4 linked regions of the Caenorhabditis elegans genome follow. The protein of the gene in region 4 purifies or fractionates together with the protein of the main gene of each other region. This does not show direct contact. Each region holds a gene or a part of one and is shown on either strand. Other genes may lie near its edges. The genes, in order: garr-1, Y41D4B.11, nol-14 and nol-16.

Evidence for each region.
Region 1: the proteins of nol-16 (region 4) and garr-1 fractionate together in Caenorhabditis elegans (co-fractionation; one large-scale study listed by BioGRID). This does not show direct contact.
Region 2: the proteins of nol-16 (region 4) and Y41D4B.11 fractionate together in Caenorhabditis elegans (co-fractionation; one large-scale study listed by BioGRID). This does not show direct contact.
Region 3: the proteins of nol-16 (region 4) and nol-14 fractionate together in Caenorhabditis elegans (co-fractionation; one large-scale study listed by BioGRID). This does not show direct contact.

What each region holds. Positions count from the first base shown.
Region 1 is NC_003282.8:424,535-427,756, forward strand, and holds garr-1 (putative H/ACA ribonucleoprotein complex subunit 1-like protein), read left to right. Parts: upstream 1-1,633; 5' UTR 1,634-1,635; coding exon 1,636-1,968; intron 1,969-2,016; coding exon 2,017-2,418; 3' UTR 2,419-2,670; downstream 2,671-3,222. Other genes in the region: Phosphatidylinositol 3,4,5-trisphosphate 3-phosphatase and dual-specificity protein phosphatase daf-18, read right to left, coding at 109-353, 404-614. UniProt on the Caenorhabditis elegans protein: Required for ribosome biogenesis. Part of a complex which catalyzes pseudouridylation of rRNA. This involves the isomerization of uridine such that the ribose is subsequently attached to C5, instead of the normal N1.
Region 2 is NC_003282.8:1,604,109-1,609,408, reverse strand, and holds Y41D4B.11 (DUF1014-domain-containing protein), read right to left. Parts: upstream 3,698-5,300; coding exon 3,594-3,697; intron 2,510-3,593; coding exon 1,842-2,509; intron 871-1,841; coding exon 593-870; 3' UTR 508-592; downstream 1-507. Other genes in the region: putative histone-lysine N-methyltransferase set-23, read right to left, coding at 3,848-3,911, 3,965-4,036.
Region 3 is NC_003279.8:321,907-329,869, forward strand, and holds the start of nol-14 (Nucleolar protein 14), read left to right. Parts: upstream 1-1,948; 5' UTR 1,949-1,953; coding exon 1,954-2,028; intron 2,029-2,072; coding exon 2,073-2,334; intron 2,335-2,382; coding exon 2,383-2,747; intron 2,748-3,392; coding exon 3,393-4,142; intron 4,143-5,052; coding exon 5,053-5,339; intron 5,340-5,940; coding exon 5,941-6,073; intron 6,074-7,963. Other genes in the region: xpo-2 (Exportin-2), read right to left, coding at 1-482, 879-1,187, 1,237-1,446.
Region 4 is NC_003279.8:8,253,405-8,256,812, forward strand, and holds nol-16 (Nucleolar protein 16), read left to right. Parts: upstream 1-1,943; 5' UTR 1,944-1,948; coding exon 1,949-2,058; intron 2,059-2,104; coding exon 2,105-2,213; intron 2,214-2,329; coding exon 2,330-2,425; intron 2,426-2,547; coding exon 2,548-2,802; 3' UTR 2,803-2,908; downstream 2,909-3,408. Other genes in the region: fitm-2 (Acyl-coenzyme A diphosphatase FITM2), read right to left, coding at 234-341, 418-603, 651-807, 853-954, 1,094-1,293, 1,370-1,439, 1,488-1,516; sre-23 (Serpentine Receptor, class E (Epsilon)), read right to left, coding at 2,956-3,105.

The sequences.
Region 1 (3,222 bases), on a different chromosome or scaffold from region 4:
TTTTGGGCCTGTGTTAGTCCTCCTTCAATAGAGTCCTCATGATTTAAAATTTCAGGGCAATCACGTTCATTCGGAAATTTTAGAGCCACAGAAGTGATGAAAAATAACCTCTCTGCAAAACGGAGCCATTAATTCGAGACTCGGCGGATGATGATCAGTCATATCGAAGCAAATAACATTTCCATCGAAGTTATCCGCATCGTAGTAGTATCCACCGCGCAGGTTAAACACCTTCACGTTGCCCTTTCCGTGCCGCCTGGTCAGAAATTGTTGAGTTTGAACTTTTGAGTTACGGAAATTCGCTTCGATTCCTGTTGCTGGATAACCGATAGCTATGATTCGGTCTGTGATATCTGAAAGTTTTGAAAATTGAAATGCTTTGAACTCAAGAGAAGTGCCTTACATGCACAATCTAGGTCGATATTTTGGTACTCGGTGCGACAACGATTGGAAGATACAGCCGTCCGAAAAATATGGCGAATCCGCTCGACGATTGAATTGTGATACGGTTCAGACACACGTGGTTCACCAGGTTGTCGGTTTGGATTCTCTTGAAGGTCACGAGCCATCGACCTGGTCGATGTGCTTGGCACATCTGGAGGAGGAGTAACCATTGGGGGTTAGTAGATGTACCTGGAAACTGCAAATTCATGAAGAGGAACGAATTAGAAGAGAATTTCAGCGAATTTTATAATTTAAACATTGTCAGGTGAAGTGTGATAGAATAGAATGCCAAATGAGCGCAAAGGATTAAGGGATTAACTAGCTCATGCTAAAGCTCAGATTTGTTCACGCAGAGAGCTCAGACCCGAGAGATACGAGAGGAGCAGAAAGACAGACTACATTTCCTCGTTAAGAATGAGCTGAAAAAGAGCTAGAAATCCGTTGAAAATCGCCAATATGCGTATTTTCGACTTAAAAAAAACAAGACTGATTTATTAGAAAATAATACCCGCCAGCGCCAATAGTAGAAGATCATATGAAATCATTTGATCAAAAAAGCAAAATTTTGGTCTACTGATTTATGAGCATTTTCAACCAAGAAATAGGAAGATTTCGGATATTTTTATAACCTACGTGTGGAAAATGTTTATTTGTATTGAAAAATCAAGAAAAAATGAATAAAAATTGTCGAAAAAGCAGATAAACACCGAAAAAGATCGGTTTCGCGGCGAAAAAACAAAATCCAAAAAATGTCTCTTAAAGGCGCACGCTAATTCAAACGGCACGGGTCTCGCCACGAACGCCTCTCTTCTCACTGCATTTTTCTCTTCTCTTCGATTTTTTTTTCGATATTTTTTAACGTTTTCCAATAGTTTTTATTGATTTTCTTGTTTAAAAACTGGCAAAAAACGAAATAATCGTTATTTATAAGTTGTATTTAGAGTCTAAAGTTTGTATAGTGCGATGAAATTCTTCGAAATAGGCGAAAATCAATTTCTTGTGATTTTCTTAATTTTCTCATATTTAGAAAATTGAAATTTCTGTGAATATTATGTACAAGAAAACCCCTTTTTGTTTTGCAATACCAATTTTTTCTATTGAATTTCTCAACAAATATATTTTTATGTCCAGTTTGATTTTATTTTGCACTTGAATAACTTTAAAGTTCAAAAATTGTTTGACATTTCAGAAATGAGTTTCCGTGGTGGACGTGGAGGCGGTGGTGGATTTCGAGGTGGTCGTGGTGGCGGTGGAGGCGGTGGATTCCGTGGAGGTCGCGGCGGTGACAGAGGTGGTGGCTTCCGTGGAGGACGCGGTGGATTCGGAGGGGGCGGCCGTGGAGGTTACGATCAGGGACCACCAGAGGAAGTTGTGCTCGTCGGTGTCTTCTCCCATCAGTGCCAAGATGATATTGTTTGCAACAATACGAGTGGAAAAATCCCATATTTCAATGCTCCAATTTACTTCAAGAATAAGGAACAAGTCGGAAAAATCGACGAGATTTTTGGATCCCCCGGGGAGAACGTAAGTAATCTCTTAATTGAAAATTAATCATAAATTTATTCGCTGCAGGGATTCTCCGTCACATTGTCACAAGGAGTAAAAGCCTCTTCATTCGAACCAGAGTCTCAGCTGTACATTGATCCCGGAAAGCTTTTACCAGTTGATCGTTTCCTTCCACAAGCCGGCGGAGGGCGTGGAAGAGGTGGTCGCGGACGCGGTGGGGATCGTGGAGGACGTGGCAGTGACCGTGGAGGTCGTGGAGGCTTTGGAAGAGGCGGCGGCGGTGGATTCAGAGGCGGGGATCGCGGAGGTTTTGGCGGTGGTCGTGGAGGATTCCGAGGCGGAGACCGTGGAGGGTTCCGTGGTGGCCGTGGAGGAGACTTCGGAGGTCGCGGACGTGGAGACTTCAAACGATCATACGATGGTGGAAGTTTCGGAGGACAGAATAATAAGAGAACTAAATTCGAATAATTGTTTCTTCTCTAAAAAACTGTATGTTCCAATTGTTTTCATCCTTTTTTTTTACCAATTGTTGATTTTCTTTGTTTTCCTTTTCTCATCTGCCCTCATTTTTTGATCACTTTTTTGTTGAACTTGTTGGTATTTTATACACATTATAATAATCATATAATTTAGTTATTTTATTTCACTAATCACACAGCGCTCTGAGGCAAGCATTTTTGGCGAATAAAATTTGGAGTTCGCATTTAAGCGCGCTTTGATATATCGTTCTTATAACATTTTTTAATCGCCGCAACCAAGTTCCAGCCATTAATTTGACAGATTACACTGGAAAATTATATATTTAGCTTGAGAACAAAATCTAGAAAGTAGTAAAGTAGCAATTAGCAATTGAAATTTTGCAATACAGGTTAACTTTTGAAATTTGAAATTTTAACAGAATAGAGCTCTCAATCAAAACGGCTGAAGATAAAAATAATTCTGAGCGATTTTCATTGTTCTAATCTCAGCAGTGTACATACTGTACCACGCCACAAAAGGCGGGGCCTAAATATGAGGTTTTCTGCAGTACACGCCACGCAGTTTTCTTATTTTGAGTGTATTGCGCAACATACTTGACGCGCAAAATATCTCGTAGCCAAAACTACAGTAACTCTTAGAAGGACTACTGCAGTAGCTACTGTAGCTTTTGTGTCGATTTACGGGCTCAATTTATTATGGTGCGTCCATAGTCTGCGGAAAACGAAAATTTCCCGCGACCCGAGGCGTCCATAGTATGCGGAAAAATTGAGCGAGTTTCTCGCTTCGTTATTG
Region 2 (5,300 bases), on a different chromosome or scaffold from region 4:
ATCTCGTAGCGAAAACTACAGTAATTCTTTAAATTACTACTGTAGCGCCGCTTGTGTCGATTTACGGGCACGAGTTTTTTGAAACAAATTTCTCGACGTTTTTTTTCCAATTTTTTTTTTCCATTCATAAATGGGAAAAAAACCAACACAAAATCTGGCCAGTGGTCTACAGTAGCCATTTAAAGTATTACTGTAGTTTTCGCTACAAGATATTTTGCGCGTCAAAATTGTTGTGCAATACGCAGTCTCAGAATTTTGTTGTGTTCTCGTATTTAATAATACTACAGCAATTCACGAGAAAAACACGGGGAATCTGAGTGAAATATTCCGTCAAAAAAGTGTGAAAATGAGAAAAAAAACATTTTGGCGGAAAATTCAAACTTCTTGAGAAAAAATGTTGGCGGGAAATTTGAAATTTTCAGAGAAAACCAAGAAAAAGATCTAAAATTTCAGTTTTCAGGAGTGTTTTGCATTTTTTTTTTTGAGAACTTTTCTCGGAAACCCGATGATTTTTGAATTTTTACTGAATGAAAAAAAAGAACAATGGGACACAACAATGAAGAAATAACAAAAACAGTGAAAAAAGTTAAAATTAAGAAGATGAAGAAGAAGCAGCAGCAGCAAAAGCGGCAGCAATTCTCTTCTGTTTCTTCATATCTCTGTACGCGTCGATGACCTTCTGCCGTTCCTCTTGAATTTTCGTCGAATTATTCAAATATTCCGTCTTCTGGCCGCCGCCTTTTTGGAGCATTGAATGAAGAAGAAGCGTCGTCTTTTGGCCGGCTTTTGCCATCAATGGCTCGAATTTCTTTTTAAGAGCTCCGCCGAATGTTGGTGGCGCGTCGTTTCGTTCGCCAAACTCGATTATTTCTGGAATTTTTTGATTTTTGAAATTTTACAGCACTGCAACTTTTTCCTCACGAGGGACGAGGAAAAGTGGTTTCTAGGCCATGGCCGAGGGGCCGACAAGTTTCAGCGGCCATTTATCTTGCTTTGTTTTCCGCCTGTTTTCTTTTGTTTTTCACAGCTTTTTCCCGTTTTTTCTTATTAAAACTGATAAATAAATATTTTTTGCAGATGCTAAAACAATTTCCAAGTAAAAAAAATTGTGAATTCAGTGGGCAAGCAGCGGTGAAAGTGGTCAATGTAATATGATGGATTACGGGAATACAAAACCTAAACTTTTTCTGAAACATGATACATATGATGCTTAAATGCTGAAATTACCTGATTTTCATAACGAGACCGCTGAAAAAGTTTTGAGGTTTCCACAATTCAACTTTTTTGGTGAAAAAGTCGAGATTTTCGCACAAAAAGTTGAATTTTGAAAATCTCAAAACTTTTTCAGCGGTCTCGTTATGAAAATCAGGTAATTACAGCATCTAAGCATCATATGTATCATGTTTCAGAAAAAGTTTAGGTTTTGTATTCCCGTAATCCATCATATTACATTGACCACTTTCACCGCTGCTTGCCCACTGAATACATGATTTTTTTACTTGGAAATTCTTTTAGCATCTGCAAAAAATATTTATTTATCAGTTTTAATAAGAAAAAACGGGAAAAAGCTGTGAAAAACGAAAGAAAACAGGCGGAAAACAATACAAGATAAATGGCCGCTGAAACTTGTCGGCCCCTCGGCCATGGCCTAGAAACCACTTTTCCTCGTCCCTCGTGAGGAAAAAGTTGCAGTGAAAATATAAAACTGTCGTCATTTTTTTTTACGAAAAATTAACAAAATTTGCAGTTTTGCAATTTTCTGGCTGAAATTTTCAAGTTTTCAAGCTTTTTTGAGTGCAATTATAGATTTTTTTGGACTATTTTTTTGCAAAAAATTGCACCTCTAGAATTAATCAACGCCTCGCCGGCACGTCGCTTCTGTTCATCCGATTTTCTCGCTTTCAACGTCTCCTTTCTACGGTCTTTTTTGCTGAGTTTCGTCGTCGCTTTTTCACTGCCTCCTTTTTCAGTACTTTTCTCAATTTTTGCCCGTTTTTCAGAGACTTCATCCTCATCAAAGCTCTCTTCTTCCTCTTCTTTTTCCAGTGCTTCCTTCATTTTCCTTTTTTCAGCTTTTTTCTGCTCTTTCAGCTTCTCCACCTCTTCCAGCCGTCGGGCTTCCTGTTCTCGTTTCTTTCTCGCTTCTTTGATTTTATTCTCAATTTCTCGCTTTTCCTGCTCCTTCTTCCGTTTTTCAGCGTCCTCAATAATTTTATAATCAGCATCAATTTCCTCCTGCTTTCTACCAGCCAATCCATGCTTTGCAATCGCAATTTGCTCATTAATTCTCGAGTGAAGAGTTCCTTCGATTCGTTTCACAAATCTGTTCACAGTCTCGAATTTTCCCTTTTTCATTCCGAGCTCTTCGGCTTGAGCCAACACGGCATTCTTTTGCTTTTTCTTCTTTTTCACCTCCTCTTTTGTCGTAATTCCGGAGCCCATCAGGTTTTTGGCGGCTTTTGTCAGTGGTTGCTCGTCTTTCAGGCTCACGGGAGCTTGATTCGAATTTCTGGAATTATAAAATTGAGAGAAAAAATGGGTAAAAATCTATTTTTTTGGTTTTTTAAATGTTTTTTTTGGCCATTTTTCTGAAAAAAAAATTTTTTTTTTAACTTGTATTTTTCGTCTAAAAATTCACTTTTTTTTTTGCAAAAAAGCAAACTTGAAAATTTTTGATTTTTGCTTCCAAAATTGCAAATTTTTGGTATTTTTGGGCAAAAATGGAGACAATTGTGCATTTTTTCCATTTTCCATTGAAATTTTCCACGAAAATTGAAGATTTTGAATTTTTAGGCCGAATATTCCAAACATTTAGGAAAAAAAAATTTTCAAACTTGAATTTTTCGTTTAAAACGAGGGCAGGTAGGTAGGCAGGTGAGTGCGAAAAATGTACACATTTTGCGAAAACGCCATGAAATTTTCAGATATCCAAAAATGCAAAATTTTTTATTGAAAAAAAAACTTTAAAACTTGAATTTTTCGTCTAAAAATGTATTTTTTTGCTACAAAAAAACATGAAAGTTTGTGATTTTTTGCTTCCAAAATTTCAAATTTTTGGCATTTTTCGGGCAAAAAATTTGGTAAATTCGCTTATTTTCTGATATTTTTATTTTTTATGTGATTTTTTGTCTTTTTTTTTTCTCAAATTGAATTTTGCGGCTTTATAGTTAGCCCTGAAATATCATATAAATTTATTTGAAAACGCAATATTTTTTGCATTAAAAATACGCAAAAAAATGGTAAAAATTATGGATTTTAACAATTTTTTTCCAAATTTTTCAAGTAAAAATGTTTCTAAACCCGATAGAAATCAGGGAAATAACCTATTTTAATATAATTTTGGCTTAAAATTTTGGATTTTTTTTGTTTTTGTGCAGCAAATTTGGATTAAAAATTTAACAAATTAACTTAGAAATTACGAAAAAAATTAGGTTTTTCTACAATTTTTCGTTAATTTTTTTTTTGAAATTATTAGATTTTAATGGGTTTTTTTTTAATTTTTGAAATTTTCCAATTTTGCGTCATTTTCTGCTCTGAACTCGAATTTTTGAGCTATTTTAACGTTTTTTTTCCATCAAATTTTCAGCACACACTTGTTCTTATCCTTAAATCGAGCGGCATTTGCCTTATTGTTGAACGGATCCACCGACTTCAGCTTCTTCCGATTCTTTTTCGGAATTCGACGATGTTGAGCCATCTATAGACGAAAAATTGCACAAAAACGGAAAAAAAATCAGTAAAATATATTAAAAATGGTTTCAAAACCAAATTTTTTTGACAAAAAAATGAAGACAAAAATATTTTTACACATATTTTTATTGAAAATTCGCCAATTTTTCGAAAATTTTCATTCAATCGGCGTTGCTGACATTGGAAGGTACTTTCGGCACTTTTCCGACTTGCACAGACACCTGAAATTACAAAAATATTGGTAAAATCGTGAAAAAATTCAAATTTTTCATACAATTTTCGATTTTCCCCTTCTATCGCCGAATGTCCGTAATCGTAGCACAACTCCTCGCCACGTACAATGTCGCTGAAATATTAAAAATTGATTATTTTCCATTAAAATGACTTGAAATTTGGTGAAAACTCGGAAAAATACACTGCGTAAATCGACACAAGATTAAAGGAACACGATGGGTGTCGCAGCGATTTGAGAAAATTTCGAAAAATTCGCCAAAAATTCTTGGAAAAACATGATTTTCTTTGGTTTTTTTCTGAAAATTTCGTAAAATACGTCAAAAATACATATTTTTCATTAGTTTTTTCGTTTTTTTCGAAATTTTATTCAAAAAATGACTGAAATAAGCCTAAAAATTGAAAATTGTTATGAAAAACTTCGAAAAATACGTCGAAAATGAATCATTTTTCCTTTTTTTTCGAACGTTCTTCCAAAAAATACTGAAATAGGCTTTAAAATTGAGCTATTTTGAAGAAAAAAAAATTAAAAGTGAATTTTCTTTGAAAAATTGAAATTAAAACTGAAATTTTATCCGAAAAATGATAATATATTTTTAAAAAAAAATATTTTTCGAGAAATTTCAACCAAAAAAAACCGAATAAGGTTTCCGTAAAAATTGTGTATTTTTCGAAGTTTTTTTTTTCTGAAAAATTGCAAAAAATATGTCAAAAATACATATTTTTCATTAGTTTTTTCCAAATTTTACCAAAAATTTTTTCTTTAAAATTTCGAAAATTCGTTTTTTTCCGAACGTTCTTCTAAAAAAATACTGAAAAGTGAATTTTCATGGTTTTTTTTTTGAATTTTTTTTGAAAAACTGAAATTTTATCCAAAAAATGAATGAAATGACATAGAATTTCTAAAAAAACGTATTTTTGAAGGTTTTTGAAAAACTTTTCCGGAAGATTTACAAAAAATACCTGTTTCAAACAAAAAAACCGAATAAGGAATAATACATTCCGTAAAAATTGTGTCTTTTTCGAGGTTTTTTTCCCGAAATTTTCCCTAAAAAACTCTAAAAATACGTCAACAACGGCACTGCAACTTTTTCCTCACGAGGGACGAGGAAAAGTGGTTTCTAGGCCATGGCCGAGGGGCCGACAAGTTTCAGCGGCCATTTATCTTGCTTTGTTTTCCGCCTGTTTTCTTTTGTTTTTCATCGATTTTTTTCGTTTTTTCTTAATAAAACTGATAAATAAATATTTTTTGCAGATGCTAAAACAATTTCCAAGTAAAAAAATCATGTATTCAGTGGGCAAGCAGCGGTGAAAGTGGGCAATGCAATATGATGGATTACGGGAATACAAAACCTAAACTTTTTCTGAAACATGATACA
Region 3 (7,963 bases), 7.9 Mb from region 4:
AGAACGCCTTCACCAGTGAAGTGTCCCTCGTAGTACTGTCGCTGGCTGACCATCGACAGAAATTCCAGCGCGGCGCACACCATCGTATCGTATCGAGTGTCGGGGCCGGTAGACTTGAGCAGATTCCAGACGGCAAGGATGATGTCGGGCACGAACTCGGAGATCTCCTCCTCGTAGCGTTGCGAGTAGAGCGTGAAGATCTCACAGATCTCGTGCTTAAGCTCGTCCAGAGTTGTAGGTTCTCCCGAGTTGGAGGTCTGCGTCGGCGCGTCGATTTGCACGAGATGCAAGAAGTGTGGCATCCAGTCCTTGAGATGATCCTCGAAGTATTCCGGAATCTCCTGTGAGCACAGAGAATGGTAGACTTTTGCAATGAGAAGTAAGACTCGGAGCCATTGGGCGATCTCGTCGGCTCCGAGTTGATCCTTCCGCTGTCCCACCTCCATCATGTTCCGTAGCAACAGAGTTAGAGGCTCTTGGGTCTGAAAAATCGGTTCTTTTTATTTGTAACTGAAAAATCTGGGGAGAAAACAGTTTTTCGGTCCAAATTCGAGACTGACATTCAGATTTCTTCAATTTTTTGGCTCAAAAATTTTGAAAATTTGTCCATTTTTATAGGAAAATTATCAATTTTCGCCAAAAATTCCTCATTTTTGCTTTAGTTAAAATTTTTGACTAAAAAATCATAAAATGTTGAATTTTTCACGATTTTTCGGAAAACAAGGCCAGCTTTAGCTAGCTTAAATGTCTAATTTTGGTCATTTTTTAGGGTCAAAGCGGACAAAAATTCAACTTCCGACGGCTGCGACGTAAAAAAGTGGCCAAAATTGGGGATTTTAGCTGAAATTAGCCAAATTTTGAGCCAAAACGCAACTCACGCTCAGTAGACACTTCTTCAGCTCTTTCCAAAGCTCTGCTGACTTGGATTCGAATCGGAATTTGCGGAAAATCTGCTCCATCGACGCCAGCGAGGCCACCAGGTGATTGAGATCCGCTCCGTTCAGGAATTTCGACAAATATGGAACCAAATCTGGCCATTTTTCGGGAAAATCTCTCTGAGCGATGAGATACAGAGCATTGGACAGGATTTCCTGAACATTTGATTTTGTATTGAACATCGCTTCGAGAAGCATGCTTCTGAACTGCTCCTCGTCTTCCTGGCCCATTTCTACCTCTGGTGCCGGGCCCTGAAACAATTTAAATATAAAATTCACGCATTTATTCAAATTTTCCAACCCAATTTCTCTTCACAAAATTTTTCAAAGCGACAGCCGCGGCGATTCGGATCTGCGGAGCAATTTGTTGCTGTTCGTTGACCACCAGTTGAAGAATTTGAATGATATAGCCTGGATTTGATTGCAGCGAGCGGAGCGCTTCTTCTCCACGCTTGCGAATCGCAGCATCCGGCTCCAGAGTCTGCTGGAGAGCTGCTCCGATTTGCTCCATCTGAAAATAGGGAAAAATAGCTGTTTTGGGGGTGAAATAGGGAAGAATTAGGTGAAAGGACAAAGATAGTTTAGCTTAAAACTTGAAATCTAAAATTTCCGGTCAAAATATTAAAGTTTTACGCAATTTTTCGCAGGCCCGCGGGGAATAAACTCGCAAAAATTCGCAAAAATAAAAAAAAAATTTCAAAAGTGTGAAGTGTTTGCGTACAGCGCACCCGACCCGACGCGCAAATTTTTTTCATTATGTTCTCTGTTTTCACTGATTTTTACTGATTTTTCCTAGTTTTCCCTTGATTTTCTTCAAATTTTCCACTTTTTCAGCAAAACGTGCATAAAAAAATAAATTAAAACATTTCAATTTTCAAAACTTTGCAAAATAAAGGCGTCGTTGCGTACAATGCGCACGACTTGACGCGCAAACTTCCCAATTTTTATTCTTAAATTTTCCTGGATACCCCTGGTTTTTTCTCTGTTTCCCCCCTAATTTTTCGCATTTTCAGCAAACATGGGTGTTGATAAAAAGCAAAAGCAACGAAAAACCAATCCATTCGAGCTAAAATTCAACAAATCCAAGCATGACGTGAGTTTTTCAGAGTTTTGAAGAAAAAATCGATTTTCTCGCAGATTCTCGGCCGGAAAAAGGGCGCACAAGTTGGAGCACCGACTGCGTCACGAAAACGAGCTCACGAGCAACGTGAACAGACGCTAGGCGTAGAATATGACCGGAAAAATAAGATTAGCAAAATTGTCGACAAACGGCTCGGCGAAAAGGACGGAAAAAGCGAGGAGGAGAAGGGCGCGATGAGATTCACAGAGGAAAGAGTCAAAAATTATAAAAGAGCATCGAAATTCAACTTGACAGATGATGGAGATGAGGAGGAAGAAGGTTTATTCCGAAATAAATTGAGAAAAATTTTAATAAAGTAAATTTCAGTACTTACTCACAAGGGAAAAGCGCTCTCGGACATTGAAAAATACGACAAATCGATGATTTCCGACTCGGATGACGATGAAGAGCCGGGAAATTTGGGCTCAAATATGGTAAAAGTGGCTCATTTCGGTGGTGGAGAGAAGACCGCCGAGGAGCACGTCCGCGAAAAAATCAGCCGAGAGGATATGATTTCGAATTTGATTGCGAAAACGAAGCTGGCGCGTCACGAGAAGCAACAGCAGAAGGATGAGCTCGAGCTGATGACAGAGTCGTTGGATTCCAAGTATCAGGCTTTGATGGGCAAAATGAAGGCTTCATTTAGGCCGACCGGGCGCCAGCCGCTGGAAAAAGATGATTACGACAAATTGGTACGGGAAACATCCCGGTTTTCTCCAAATTTTTAAGATAAAAGATAATTATAAATTTAGAGTGAAAATCGATTTTTTTCACAATTTTTTAGTGGAAAACCTAAAACCCAAAAAACTTGATCTGAAAATGCTAATTTTTAACCATTTTTGCTATGGAAATTGGAAATTTTCATTAATTTTGCTGTAAAAGTTGAAGAAATCCAAGTTTTAGCTTTGTAATCAGAGAAAACACTGTAAAATTATTTCGGAATTTGTGCAATTTGAAGTGAAAAATAAAACATTTAACTTCTTATCGCGAAAGAAATTGAGCTGAACTGAGAATTTTTTTGACGAAAAATCATTAAAAAGTCAATTTTTTTGACAAAAATTCGAGAAAAGTCGGTTTTTCTTTTGACAAAAATGACGAAAAAGGCAATTTTTAATTTAAAAAAATAAATTTTTCGCCGAAAAATAACTTTAAAAAAGTCGTTTTTTTACAAAATAAAACAATTTAAAATAACTATTTTTCGACAAAAAAATTAAGAAAAAGCCAATTTTTTTGTTTAAAAAATGATAGAAAAAGGCTTTTTTTTTGTTTCTTCGCCTAAAAAATCAAGAAAAATAGGTTTTATTCCATTTTTTATCCAAAAATTATTATTTTTCCAGACAATCACCTTGAAAACCGAAGCCGACGCTCGTGCCACCCCAGCAGATCGTAAGCTATCCGAAGAAGAAGAAGCTCTGAAAGAAAAAGAACGTCTGGAAACTCTCGAGGCCGCCCGTATCTCGAAAAATAATGCATTTTTCAACGCAAAATCTCATTTATCAGCCGATGCCGACGTTGATATCGATGCTGGATCGAAGGCCGACGCCAGAAAAGTTCAGGCGAAAAATTCGAGATTTGAGGTCAAATTTGACGATGAAGGTGGCCTGATCGATGAGGATACGGTGGAAAAATCCAGGATTTTAAAGAAAAATCTGGATGGTTCTGATGAATCTGACGATGACGAGGATCTAGAAGATGAGGAAGAGGATCTGGATGATCTACTGGAAGATGAGGATGAGCTGGAAGAAGATTCCGATGATGAGGAAGCTCAGGAAGCCCAAAAAGTCGTCAAAAAAGCGAAAAAATCTGCTCCAGAACCCGCTGAAACTCTGCCATTCGTATTCGAAATGCCGAAAAACTATAAAAAATTCTGTGCTCTTCTGGAAAAACACTCGGAATCGATGGATTTAGTGCTGGAACGACTCGTGAAATGTCATCATCCGAGCCTTAAAGAAGGAAATAAGAAGCGTCTGAATAAGCTTTTCCTCTTGTGTTTAAGATGGTTTGATGATATGTCGAAGGAGGAATTGACAGCGGAAAGTGTGAAGGAAATGAATTTAGCGCAGGAAACTATGCATGCGTTGATGAAGGTAGCGATTGGATGGAAAAGCTGAAAAATTACCGCACTTTTTAATCTGAAAATTGAAAAAATTCGAGAATTTTTGACCTAAAATTTTGAAAAATTCCCGATTTTTATACCCCAAAAATTGCAAAAAAGTCCCGATTTTTTACCAAAAAATGTTTTAAAATCCCCGAATTTTTTACCTAAAAATTGCAAAAAAGTTTCGATATTTAGACCCAAAAATTGCAAAAAAGTCCCGATATTTTTACCAAAAAATGTTTTATAATCCCCGAATTTTTGACCTAAAAATTGCAAAAAAGTCTCGATTTTTAGACCCAAAAATTGCAAAAAAGTCCCGAATTTTTTACCAAAAAATGTTTTAAAATCCCCGAATTTTTGACCTAAAAATTGCAAAAAAGCCGGTTTTTTTACAAAAAAATGTTTTAAAATCCCCGAATTTTTGACCGAAAAATTGCAAAAAAGTCTCGATTTTTAGACCCAAAAATTGCAAAAAAGTCCCGAATTTTTTACCAAAAAATGTTTTAAAATCCCCGAATTTTTTGACCTAAAAATTGCAATAAATTCCAAAAACTTTGGCCAAAAAATTAAAAAAAATACCCGAATGTTTGACCCAAAAATTGCAAAAAAGCCCCGATTTTTTGAGAAAAATCATGTGAAATTAAAACCTTTTTTTTTTGAAAATCAGTCTCGAAAAAAAAAAGAAAAACCAGGAAAATCATGAAAATTTAAGAAAAAAATCATTAAAAATAGGAAACGATCATGGAAATATTTTTAAAGAAACATTATATAAAAAATCATTAAAATTTCAGAAAAAAAATATGGAAAATCCTGAAAATAAAGAAAATAATATTAAAAATTCAGATTAAAAAACGCAAAAAATTCAACAATTGAAAAAAATTTCAAATTGTTTTTTGCAGTTCGACATTCAATACGGAGTCCGATGTGTGCGTGCTCTAATCCGTCAACACTGGAAAGGCCGCCAGGATAAACAGAAGAGTAGCCCAGTGTCATTTGGATTAATCTCTGCAATTCGTCTTGTTTCCGGCCTCTTCCCAGTTGCCGATTCCTGGCATCCTGTAGTGGTTCCGGCTCTTTTTTTGGCAACTGAAGCACTTTGCTCGGCGAAATGTGCCAATTTGAATGCGTTGGCTAAACAAATTCAATTGGCTAATGCTATTGTTGAATATGTGTCTGAATCCAAGAGGTAATACTTGGAAACGAACATTTAAATAGGCAAATTTTGAAAAAAATACTGAAAGCTTTGATATAAAATAGGAAAAGTAACGAAAAAAAAAGCCAAAACCACCAAAAATATTATTTTCAAAAGCTAACTCAAAAAATTTAAAATTCAGAATTGTCGCTTAAAAAAATCTATTTTTTTCGATATCGAAAAAAGATTACTATAAAAATTCAAAAAAGCAATTTTTTAAAATATAACTTGATTTTTTTTTCTGAAGTTCATTTTTTAACAAATAATTGCATTAATTTTCCATTTTAATGTTAAAAAAAAGCGAATTTTTCAAAAATTGATATAAATTTTGTTTTGGCAATTTTTAGATCAGAAAACATTGAAAAAATACAAAAATCCCGTTTTTTTTTAAATTAATTTTTTAGAAAAAATTGCAATTTTTCAAAAATCTTCCGGTCATTTCTCTATTTTTAAAAAATCTCTCGTCTCTTTTAAAAAAATTTAAAAAACCGAATTATCGAAGCGTATCAAAATTTTGAAATTAAAAAAAAAACCGAACTCCATTTTTACGAAAAATCCGAAAGTTGAAAATTGTTTTCAATAAAATAAATTTCAGATACGTCCCCGAGCTGGTCGCATTTGCTCGAAGTGCTCTTCTGCTTGCAGTTACAGAGAAAAGTGAGAAATTCGCGACAAATGGATTCCCGATTTCCAAGCCACACACGGAAATGTTATGCTTTGAGGAGAAGGTAAATTTATAAAATTTGTTTTTTTGAGCAAAAAATTGGTTTTTTTTTTTGGTTTTCTCTTTAAAAAAATTTGCTTAAAAACGCTCAATATTTAAAAAAAAAACTGGCAAAATCGAATTTTATAATATAAATTAAAAATTTTGTTCAAATAAAAATGATTTTTTTTTGAAAATTTAGTTTTGAAAAATTTAAAATTAAATTTTAAATTTTCACAAAATTGCCAATGATAAAATGTTCACTTTTTCTTGTATAAAACTGCTTGAAATTTTTTAAAAGCAATTTTCCGAAAAATAATTTTTTAATAGATTTCTGAAAAACCGAAAAACCACCGATTGAAAAACGAAAATCAAGTTTTTTTCCGAATTTTCTATTTTTAACAAATTAAATATCAATTTTGCACATACAAAACGGTTAAAAAAAAACAAAAAAAATTGCCGAGAGCCAAAAAAATTTAAGTTTCAGCGATTTTGAAATTTTTTTTTTAGGAAACACGGTCTCCTCGGGTGGAAACGAAGGGGGAGGGAGATTGCTTGCGCGTTTCACCGATGCGCCTTTCGCGTGCTGGCGCACTTCTGAATATTGAATTATTTTTGCGGAAAAAATTCATTTCTTCTATGAAATTTTCTTGAGAAAGCAAAGGAAAGATGATGAAATGAATTTTTAAAATAGTTTTCTCAGTTAAAAAGAGAATACCTTGCTGCAAAAGGTTAAATTTATTGAAAAATTGAGAAAATAAGAAGTTTATCTTTGTTTTCACTACATAAAGTGGGGAAATCTCAAAAAAATTTGAAGACAATTAAGAAATATAATTAAATATATAGCCTGAAAGTCAAATAAGAAATGAAGGTTTGGTCACAAACAATTTTATTTTTGAATTGAAGTTTTGAGAAATGATCATGTGCCAGAATCACTAAATCTGAGACATTCAGCCCAATTTCTTTAATTTTCTGTGATTTTATCATGGAAGTGTGGCTTTTTCTGTGATCTTGCCAGTTTTAACAAGTTGAAATTGGAAAATCGTGAAGTGGGAAACTAGCAGTGAAGCTTCCAAAAATTTCAAGCCTTACTGAAAGGAAAGTATTGGAAACTAAAAACGAAAGCTTAAGAAGATACCGTTTTTATATATTTGAGTTTTGAAAAGCCTTAATAGGTTTTAAATACAGTTTTCTCAAGAATTCAAACTTGTAACGATTAAGTTGAGGCACAGAATAAGATGGTAATACTAAGTTATGTTGAAAAAAGCCAAGAAAGACTGAAAACATTGCTTTCAATCTGATTTTTTGTAAGTAATGTAATGTTGAAACATTATTCTTCATAGTTCAGCACTTTGTATGGCTTATTTGAGCCCAAACGTACAGTAGTATGTGGCAAGAAATAAAATATTGTGCCAACAAAATTGGAGCCGAAAAACCCATGATAAAATGTTTAATACGTGTATTGCTCTAATAAAATACCAAATATTAATTAGATTCACTGTCTCGACTCTTTTTAATTCAGATTAATAACTTTTAGCTCCTCTTTTTAACGAAAAATTATAACTGGATTTCACAAAAAGAGTTCGATCTGAGTTCTTTCAACAGGTACATAGACGAATTATATCTTAAAATGACGAGAAAAGTTTGCTCTATAAACGTTATCATTGCAGGTTATGAGAAAAACAAATAAAAATTTAATTTTAAAAAATCCGAAAATTCAGTTGTTATTTTCAAACAGTTCGTTATGCATTTCCACCGAACGGTTTCCGATAATTTTTGTTTCTCCACTTTCGGTTCAGTCTACTTTATAATTGTTATCATTTTGAAATAGAAAAATCGACGAAAAACTAATAAAAATCGAGGGAAATCACTCTTCAACGGTGAAATCTCGGTGGACGCAATGAAGCTGCAGCAT
Region 4 (3,408 bases):
TTGCTACCCAATGATCGCGTGTAAATTTTATGAATAAGACTTAAATATATGATAATGAATTTATATAAATAAAACAAAAACAGAACATTAACAGTTACTTAATTAAAGGAGAAACCAGTAAACGAGGCAATAGAGGGGATGTAAGACGATTTTACAAAAAGTTTAAATTTCAGGATTTTAATTAACACACAAAAGGAGGACTAGAATTTTGAAAATATTCACATTGATAATATTTATTTTCTGCCCACAGTCCGGCGAATTGGGGAGGCCAAGAATCCGGCTGGATAGAGCATGCGGTAGGTCACAAACCAGCAAACGACAGCGGCCACAGCTCCGAGAATCTGAAAAATAGGGAAATTGAGTAATTAAATTTTTGAAGAATACAAATTGTTATTCTGAGATGCAAAATATGATTACCTCTTCAATGAAGATATGATAATAAAGAACGGAGATGATAATTTGCTTGAACCAGAATGCATGAAGGAACAACATTGCGACGAAGAAATATTGAATGCATCGAGTCAAACGATCATGTTCTTCACGATCACCGTCCATTTGATGAACTGCATCAGTTACTTGTTGATAATGACGGTAAGCAATCGCCTGTAAACATTCCCATATTGTTTTCTGAAACCTTTTTTTCTTTATACCTCCTCAGTGATAATCAGAATACTGTAGATCATCAAGAAGCAGTGACCTGAAATATCATATCCTGGCGTCCAGACACCTTCTTTTTCGGAACACTGAGCACGAGTCAGAGTACGTCCTTTGTCACACATTGAGGTTAGTGCAAGAACTTTGTGGAAACTGAAAACTTTTTCGTTTAAGTAAGAATTATTGCATAAAGCTTACAATTGCACAGAAAAGTACCAACACGCGGTTCCCACTCCAAGACGGCACACATCAACGATTGGTTGATCACGATCACGACGATTGTGAGCTTTTGAAGAGAACCTGCAAACTTTATGGTTTTCGAAACAAAAATATTTGCATATTATAACAAAATACTAGATTCTGATTAACTTCTGCAAGAAAAGAGAGAAACATTAACTTATCCCTCACATCAGTGTCATTAAAATTCAAGAATACTTACCAAATAAATGGACCAACGATGACAAGTGTCCAAAACCATCCCATTTTTACTCCATATTGATTCAGAACACTGTGCTTTTGGACCAAATAATACGTGGAATCTAGTTCAATACGGGACTCGATGAAAGAGAGCACAGTCACAAAAGCCAGATAGAAGAGGGCAACTTTTCGAGCATCGATGAACAGAATTTGACGAGCGATCTGCAATATTGAAATTTTATATTTAAAACGATTAAACTTTCTCGTTTAAATTTTATTTTGAAGAATATATACTTACAGCAACGAAAATCCCGAGTGCAGCATTCGGCGTGCTATTTGGGGAAGCTGGTCGCTTTGTTGTGGAGTCTCTGAAAAATCAACTCATTTTGTCAAAAACAATTATAGTTCAAACATACGCTCTTGTAGAACTACGCCTTGTTGACATAATTATCTGTAAAATTGATTAATTAATAACCTATGAAAACTGAAAAAGAAGACTATCACACGTCGAATTAATCGGAAAACCCGAGAAAGTGTCAATTAAATGGAGAAAACTAGTCCGGCGGGTTTATTGACGAATATTGCGATTTTTAAAGCACCAATTAGTTTTTATGAGAACATAATAATATTTTTTCTTCATTGAAAACAAAATTGTATTAAAAATATATAACATTTAACAAAGAATTGTGTTGTTAAAATAATTCTCGACGAAAAAAAAAACAAACTGACGGTGGCCTAGAATCCGACAACTCATCAAGTTTCTCTTCCATTTCGTCCTGAAATTTTTTCGAAGAATCTTTCCCTATTTTCTCGGTTTTACTGTTTTTCCTCTGATTGTATTGTATTTATTTCGAAATTTTATTGTTTTTCAGAAAAAATGGCACGTGATGTAAAGAAGAGAGGAAAGCCAGCGTATACAAACCGCAGAAACCGACAAAAATATCTCAAGAAGAAGGATAACAAGAAAAAATTATCGAAAAGTGCAGTGTGAGTTAATTTTTGTCTATTTTTCCATTTAAATAGTGACTTGCAGGCCAATTATCAAATACACATGGGATGAAACTAAGACTCCTCGAGAAAACGTCCGCGACATGGGTATCGCATTTAATCCAAATGACGCGGTTCCAATCGCTGAACACAGAGTAGGTTATCGATTTTTTCAAGGCGTTGTGCATTGACGGAACTTAATTGCGCACTTTGTCTTGCGGAAGTCCAAATTAAATTTCATGCTCATTGATTCATAATTTTGAATTTTCAGAAAGAGATCATCGACGCGGAGCCAATTGACGGTGTCAGTATTGTTGTTCCCAAACCGGAAAAGAAAGTTACTGGAAGAAAAAAGAATGAGAAACAGGTAAAATTTAATCATAGTTGGTAGTAAATAACGCTAAAGTTTTAGTTTCTGAAAAAAGCAGGTCCGATGAATCGGTTTCTAAATATTTAATTCAATTGTTTTAATTCTGTTATTATTTCCAGGCAGCACACATTATCTCAAATCTGGAACAGCAAGTGAAAGAAGAAGAGGAAGCTCGAGCTGGACAAGACCGGAAATTCCGACTTTTCCATAGAGAAACCGAGCTTTGTGTCTACATGCTGGCTCGTCACGGCGAAGATTTTCAAGCAATGACTCGTGATCCGAAGAATTTATGGCAATACACACCGAAGCAGTGGGCGAAGAAGATCCGTACACACAAAGAGTCCGAGATGTGTAAATTCCTCGAAACTGCATAAGACTGTTTTTCAAAATTTTTTGATACTTTTGTTTGAGCTTTTATTGTTATTGTTGATACTGTTATGGGGGACTTTTGTTCCTTTACAAATAAAATCAAAAATTATTAACATTCATTGTGTACATTTCAGATATATTAAGCAGCTCTTCAGAGATTAATATTTGGCATTAATTTTCGGTTTTCTCAAAGATCCAGTGCGCATCTTTCCTCGACAAGCACCATCTCCTTCCAGTTGCCTCTCGAAAATCTCAAAATACATGTCACTCTCCCGGTCCATTTGAGGGCGAAGCTTTCGAATATCAACCTAAAATTTCGAACTTACACAATTTCAAAGAAAAAAAACCAGGATAAACGGGGGATTTTGCTTTAAAAAATCCAAAGTTGTTTTACTATTAAATTCAGAAATAACAAAAAGAAAAACTAAAAAAAATGACGACAGAGTGAAAAATCCAACTTTTAAAAACTTGATTTTGCAATTTTGGCTAAATTCTCTGTTTGAACTTCCTCGGAAATGAAAACTGCGACCAATCATCGATTCGCTTCGCCCACTTTTGAACCAATCAGATGTTCGAAGACGCTGATTGGTTCGAAAATGGGCGTGGCATCT